Cricetulus griseus: one gene and its partner. The protein of the gene in region 1 binds, or shares a complex with, the protein of each later gene. Links are inferred from orthologs where the notes say so. Each region holds a gene or a part of one and is shown in the gene's direction. Other genes may lie near its edges.

The links. Proteins that work in one complex are often made in the same cells at the same time.
Region 2: the proteins of Fbxl5 (region 1) and Ireb2 are in contact, whole or in part, in a cryo-EM structure (PDB 6VCD), measured with the Homo sapiens proteins. The link is inferred for Cricetulus griseus from reciprocal best matches to the Homo sapiens genes FBXL5 and IREB2. Residues at the interface, in NP_036293.1 of Homo sapiens: Asp656, Glu657, Tyr661, Cys662, Asp663, Asn664, Ile665, His669, Ala670, Asp671, Thr672, Ala673, Ser674, Gly675, Cys676, Gln677, Asn678, Leu679, Gln680, Cys687, Arg688, Ser689, Gly690, Glu691; in NP_004127.2 of Homo sapiens: Asp89, Phe90, Ser129, Asn217, Val220, Glu221, Arg224, Arg228, Ala758, Gly759, Ser760, Arg763, Asn764, Thr777, Pro778, Arg779, Asn782, Ser783, Tyr784, Gly785, Ala786, Arg788.

The regions. Positions count from the first base shown.
Region 1 is NW_023276807.1:112,367,870-112,371,522, reverse strand, and holds part of Fbxl5 (F-box/LRR-repeat protein 5), read left to right. Parts: intron 1-505; coding exon 506-588; intron 589-1,381; coding exon 1,382-2,104; intron 2,105-3,653.
Region 2 is NC_048597.1:166,526,409-166,530,161, forward strand, and holds the end of Ireb2 (iron-responsive element-binding protein 2), read left to right. Parts: intron 1-194; coding exon 195-380; intron 381-1,051; coding exon 1,052-1,162; 3' UTR 1,163-3,329; downstream 3,330-3,753. UniProt on the Homo sapiens protein: RNA-binding protein that binds to iron-responsive elements (IRES), which are stem-loop structures found in the 5'-UTR of ferritin, and delta aminolevulinic acid synthase mRNAs, and in the 3'-UTR of transferrin receptor mRNA.

The DNA.
Region 1 (3,653 bases):
AGGGTCTAATTTTCTAAGAATCTTTAAGAAGATTGCTAGAAATTTGAATTCAGGGACTGGGGAAGTAAATGGTTCATCTAGTAAAGTGCCTTTTGTGCAAGCACAAGGACCAGAGTTTGGATCCCCAGCATATACAGATAAGTGTATAATAGAATGTAACTAACCACAGTGCTGGGGGTCAGGAGAACTGTGTGCAGAGACAGCAGATTCCTGGTATTCATTGGCAGCTACACTAGCAGAACCTGTGGCTTTAGAGTTCAGGGAAAACAGTTATCAGAAAATTAAATGGAGGAAGATATAGGAATTAACTTCTGGGCTCCACATATACCACACAAACCAAAAGAATTTGAGCACAGAGTATATCTATTTTAATGTGTTCTTTAAGTTTTTTCTTTCAGTATGAGTATAGACTTAGGAAAAGCCAGTGGGTTATATTTAGTATTGTCTGTTGCTTATCTAACTAAAGCTCCATGTGTCCTCATGGCGACTTTCTTTTCTTTCTTAGGTTAGGCAGATTTTAGAGCTTTGTCCTAACCTGGAACATCTGGATCTTACCCAGACTGATATTTCTGATTCTGCATTTGACAGGTTATTTATTTTCAAATATAATAAATTCTGACTATGAAATCAGTAAAAAATTCTCTATTTTCTTGCTTACATAATCGCTGTTTACTCATTCTATATTCCTGCTAAATTCCTGCCATGTGTAGCTGTAACTTGCCTTTTGTTTATATATGGCAGCTGATCCAGAACATTTTTACAGCCATCTGTACGTAGTGTCTAAGCTTATGAATCTTGCTTTGTAACTTTCTAGATCAACATTACCCATTTTCAAGGTTTTATTCCAGTTTTTAAGTGCTATTTTTCAAAACTCCCTTTTAATTCATTGTTTTTCTGGTTCAGTACCAGTTTGTTCAAGCCACACTCTTTGCAAATGCTTCTTCCTTAGAGGCTACTAGTTTTCTTCTTATTTTAGCTTCCCCTTTCTTCCAAGTTCTGATATATCCTGTTTCAGAGGGAGAGAGAGATTCTTCTACCCATTTCTAGAGTTTGCTTCTTCTGAATCTTCATTATGCAGTATTGAGTCCTCCATGTGTACACTGCTTTTCCTCTACTGTTTACTTGTAGAATAGGACACTTACATTTCTCCCATCCATGTCTTTCTCACATCCTGTCCTCTACTAGGTTAGAAATAATACTTGTTTTTTTAATTACTTGTCTTAGTATCTTTTTGTATTCCTAGCACTAAAAATATCCCCTAATGATATAAATTCCAGAAACGTTTAAGTGATGATTTTGTATTTAAAATAATTCTAATGCTCATCTGTATGTATGTAGTTTAATGCTTTTGAGAATTTAATAGTCTTCTTTCCTCTTGTAGTTGGTCTTGGCTTGGTTGCTGCCAGAATCTTCGGCATCTTGATCTGTCTGGATGTGAAAAAATCACAGACATGGCTCTAGAGAAGATTTCTAGAGCTCTTGGAGTGCTGACATCTCATCAGAGTGGCTTTTTGAAAAGTGCAGGCAAGGCCACTTCAGCTCCATGGATAAATAAAGACATTACCATGCAATCCTCCAAGCAGTATGCCTGCTTGCACAATTTAACTGACAAAGGTGTTGGTGAAAAAATAGACAATGATCACTCTTGGACTAAACCTGTATCTTCTGAAAGTTTTACTTCTCCTTACGTGTGGATGCTAGATGCTGAAGATTTGGCTGATATCGAAGATGCTGTAGAGTGGAGACACAGAAATGTTGAAAGTCTCTGTGTAATGGAAACAGCCTCCAACTTTGGTTGTTCTTCATCTGGTTGTTACAATAGGGACTTTGTGGGATTAAGGACCAGAGTTTGTTGGCAGCAGCATTGTGCTTCTCCAGCCTTTGCATATTGTGGTCATTCATTCTGCTGCACAGGGACAGCTCTAAGGACTATGTCTGCACTCCCAGCGACTTCTACAATGTGTAGGAAAGCATTAAGGACTACATTGCCTAGGGCAAAAGACTTAATTTATTTTGGGAGTGAAAAGTCTGACCAAGAGACTGGACGAGTACTTTTGTTCCTCAGTCTATCTGGATGTTATCAGATCACAGACCATGGTCTCAGGTGAGTGATCAGTTCCAGTTATTAGGAAATGGACATATTCTTACTCATTCAGTTCAAGTGCATTGTGATATATAGAGGAATATGTATTTAGAAGTTTAATTGCTTAGTAACTGGCCACATTACATTTTTTTTTAATATGTTTTGGTGGGTTGATGTATAGGTTATTGTCTCAAGGGCATTGCAGAAGTACATTTTATATTGAGGACTTTGGAAAGCATGTCTGTTGTAGTTTGGTGTGATTTTTTTATAGCCTTGAAGTGCCTGTAACCAAATTGCTGTTGGTCTGCATCCACTCATTGCTGCTGTTGAGACACGTTTTAGTAAGTAAGTAGCCTTGGCTGGCCTGGTGCTTGCCTAGTAGACCAATCTGGCTTTGGACTCACAGAGATTGACCTAGTTCTGACTCCTAGGTGCTGAGATTAAAGACAACACTTGCTGCAATTTTGAGCCAAGGACTCTCACTCTGTCCCAGGCTGCCCTCATACTTGCTGCAATCTACTTCCTAGAACCACATGGGAGTTCATGAGTGCTTGAAACCTTCTCTAACTCTAGTTCTAGGTGACCCAGTGCTCTCCTCTGTCCTCTGAAGGTACCACATATCATCTTGATACGAACATACATGTAGGCATATCACATCCAGTTTTGGCATTGTTGGAGATCAAACCTATAGACTGTGTATTGTAGGCAAGAACTCTAGAAACTTTGTGACATCCCAGCCCTATAAGCACAATCTTTAGCATAGGATACTAATTGCCTTCAACTTCCCTATTACTCCCCCCCTTTTTTTTAGTGGAGAGAAAATTGGGGGTGAAGTGTTCAGTATCTCTGAGTGACTGACAGGCAGATCTCACCAGCCAGGTCTTCCATATGCTGTGGGGACCCACCTAGAACTGTTAGGTTATGAATACTCTTTTTCTTTTTGGATTTATTTTTAATTATGTATGTAGGTATGTGTTTTTCATTTGCACATATATGGGGGGTCTTTGCTGAGGCCAGAGTCAATGGATCCTCTGAAACTGGAGTTATGGTTGGTTATGAGCTGCCTGATACAGATGCTGGGAACAGAACTTGGGTCCACTGGAAGAGCAGTAAGTACTCTTAATCTGAGTCATCTCTCCAGCCCCTGTTAAATGGTGTTATAGGCAGTACATGCAGAAACATACACCTATATACATAATTAAAAATATGCTGGAATGGAGTTAAATACTTTAGAATTTCATGGGTTTTAATAATTTGATTTTGACCTGGCTTTCCTCCAAACTATTTCAGCTTCCCCATTCTGGGATAGGTGTATGCCCCCATGGTGGGCATATGTTTAAAACAGGAATTGATTTTTGTGTGTTGGTTTATTTATTCCTCTATTTTGTTGAACTTGTTATTGTTAACTGTGTTTTGTAGTGATTTTTTTTTCTTCTTTTTCCCTATATTGATGAAATAACCCAGGACATTATATGTATCAGACAAGTGCTTTTCAGTTGAGCTAAACTCCTAAGTCTGTGTGTGGATTCTTTAAGTTTTTCTACATCCAATGTCATTTATAAACAGATCA
Region 2 (3,753 bases), on another chromosome or scaffold:
ATCCTGCAAACTCAGCACCCCAGAGGCAGAATTGTCATGAGTTTGAATCCAATTTAGGCTACAAACCAAGATCTTCTCTAAACTAATGGTGGTGGTGGTGGTGGTGGTGGTGGTGGTGGTGGTGGTGGTGGTGGTGGTGGTGGTGGTGGTGGTGGTGATAAAAATAAAAGTGATGAAACGCATGTCCGTTACAGGGTGTAAAGGCTGTTTTGGCTGAAAGTTATGAAAAAATCCACAAAGATCATTTGATTGGAATTGGCATAGCTCCACTTGAGTTTCTCCCAGGAGAAAATGCAGACTCCTTGGGACTCTCTGGTAGAGAAGTATTTTCTTTATCATTTCCTGAAGAACTCTCTCCTGGAATTACATTAAATATGAAGGTATCTGAAAATTTCCAAATACATAATTGTGTACTCTGTACTCAGATAGGTGTAAGTTGAGTAAGAATTGTTTCTAATTGCATGCTAATGTCAGTGCATGTAAGCTGTAGCTTTTTGCTGTTAATCTCTGTTATTAATAGAGCTCATGTTGTCTGAGGAAAAGTAGAAGGAACTGGTTGCTTAGCCTAGAAAAAGATGCCTGGTAGAGGATTGAGGTTCAGTTGCTTCTGCCAGGTTTTCAGCTCTTTCTCTTTTGATCTAACTTTGACCCAGGCAATAATCCATTCCAGAGAGAAGCTAAAGTTCGGCATTCAGGGTTAGACTAAGCCTTTATAACTAAGGAAAGAAAGAAAAGGACAGAGACATTATATGTAATGGACACTTACTGTATAGTAAGAGTAAATAGTGAGTGATAACTTTCATAAAGGAAGCAAAACTAAGTCATGCTATAGAATTGCAAAGTCTGATACTTGTCCTTTAGAATTAGAGATCAAAATACCTGTTTTTCTATTTAGCTAATTGTTTTTAAATAATGGAAGGGTTTTGGGCAATCAAAATGTAGGAATTTAGACCAGGAAAATGAGGCAACAAATCGGGGAGTTAGTGGATGTGAATACAAATGATCTTATTCGAAGCTCTGACACTCACATATCTTTTTGTTTGTTTAAAAGACAAGTACTGGAAAAGAATTCAGCGTGATTGCATCATTTGAGAATGATGTGGAGATAACTTTGTACAAACATGGAGGCTTATTAAACTTTGTGGCTCGAAAATTCTCATAGTATCTACTTGCCATGGTATCTTTTGTGACTGGTAACTGCAAAGCCTTTTGTGCTGGATCCAGGAACCTTTGCCATGGAGCTGCAGATAATTCCAGTACACTTGTTTATGTCATCCATGGATGTAAATGATTATGAATCAATGTAGTGACTGAAATGAAATCTTGATTTTAAATAATATACGAATGGTGCTATTAACATTGCTAAAAATCAACGTGTGAAGTGTGTCGTGGAAGAGGCCTGTAAGTATGGGGGTTATATTTTATCAGAACATTTTGTAAATAAAGACAGAATTTGAACTTGTGTTGAAGATTCATATGAGTAGCCTTTCTGAAGCAGTTTGTTTTGTTTTGCCCTATAAAATTGGACTACTGTTTGTTGGTTTAAGAATAGCAAGTTGAAATACAAGAATCCAGATTAGTCCCTAAAATATTGGGAATGGCTACCTAATTTATAAAGAAATTTTTAAGTGTATTCTTTCCAGGATTGATTGGGACACAGTTAGCATTCCCAATTTGTAATGTAAGTCAAATTTACCCTTAGTCTCAGTATATCTTGAGTAATAGAACCTGCCCCAGATCACAGTCCCTCTGACCAATCCAGCCAAAGTTTACACCATGTCTGAGGATAAATAACTGCAAAATATAGATGATTGTATGGTATCATGTATTAGTAAAAAAATATCTCCTATGGTACAGCCCTGTAATTTTTCAGTAATTTGCCACTGTGACTCTCTGACAAGCCTTGAATACTGGTATATTAATTTAGACTAGATTTTGCTTATTTTACATGATACTATAACTTCTGTAACCTCAATTAGGTATTATCAACTGACATTCCACACTCCTTTTCTAAATGCTGAAAACAACTTCAATCAACTCTAGATTTCCCCTAGACTAATAAATAAATTATCTACCCAAAATTATATGGATATGCACCCCTAAGTATTTTTTAATGCTATTTTTTACAGTCCTTTAAGTTGACTTACTGCTATTTGAGTCTTTATTTGGGATACATCAGTCTTTATTTGGGATCTGTTCATTTCATTATAACTTGTTAATTTTTAATCAAAACTGACCATAAGGATAAGACTCTTGGTGATCATTGCTGTCTGCATGTCATGTGTTCCCAGTTGCATTTATATCTGTTATACCATATGCTTTGTGTTTTAAAACATTTTTTTAAAGGGTTGGAAATTTGTTTTAGAAGTCCCTATAACATTTTAATGAAGAAATTAAACTTGGCAGCAAGATGTTAAATGTAATGATTTTTAAAAATGTTTTCTTCATCTGATCTGTTTTTGTGCATAGCACAAAACAAAAGTACTTGTTTTATGCTAAAATTCAGCAACTACCAAACCAGTGGGTGAAGAGCACTGAGAACTTTGCACATAATCAGTCATACAGTCTGTTGAGAATATTTTTCAAATATGTACTTAGTTGAACTAGAGTTTGACAAAACAAAGTCTCTGTACTAAGTGGTTTTTTTTTTTTTTTTTCCTACTTTGAAATCATATTGTGTTCTGGTAGAAGCCATGTGTCTGTCTATGCATATGTATTAATCTGCATGGAAACCTGAGTTGGGAATGGAGAAGTTACAAATTGAGTATTAAAATACTGGTACATGCTTTGAAAAAATGGTAATTCAGGATGTATTTGTGGGGGAAATGACTTATTTTGAAAGCATACTCTGTCGATAGTCTGAGCTAAAGATGTGGACATAAACATATGAGAGATGATAAACCCAGCTATGAATCAAACACTTACATTTCTAGTCCACCTAGTCCAGTCATGGTATAAAAATTGTATTTCGGGAACAAAATCTTAATCTTATTCTCTTGCTTAGAAACAGTGAACTAAAATCTCAATAAGCACGATTTTAAATGAGGGAGGAAAATTAAACGCATGTCTCAATGCGTATGTATATTTTGTAATTCTGCCTCCAGCCAAATGTTACAAAAATATGCCTGTTTTCAATGTGTTATTTCCTTCATTGACTATTTTTAGTACTTTTGTGTTATTTTCTAAACATTACCAATATTTGGGAAAGGAAGTGAACACAAAAAAGCAAATCAGTATTGTGAATGTAGCGCAGTTACCAACAGCAGCATTTTAGTCTCAAGCATTGTGTTCCATGCTGTTGTGTGCCTTAGTTGTGTTGCTCATACAAATGAGCAACGGGTATCTCTTTCTCTGTGTTAGCACTTGGATGAGAGGCATCTCTTCACCTGACTGTTTGGATTTTCACTGGTATTAAACTAAAAGCTGTAAAGTGAAGAGCTCAGGCAGAGTCAAGTTATTTGCATATGTGATAACAATATAATGTGCATTCCTCTTCTCAGTGGTGACAGGATGAGAAAATTTGACAGTTTTCAGGGGTTGAAAAACCACCTTCCTTTTTGCCTTTGAGTCTAGGGAGAAGATACTAAGATACTGGATAATGATACTATAATTGATTTGAGGGGAAAAACAGGGAAAGGAAGTAGACTTTGACTGTTTCAATGGAATTTTTTCCCCTTCAAGGGGGACTGTGACTGTGCTGATGTGGTCTTTTTGTTTTGTTTATCAATTTTATGCATAATATGTGGCTATAAA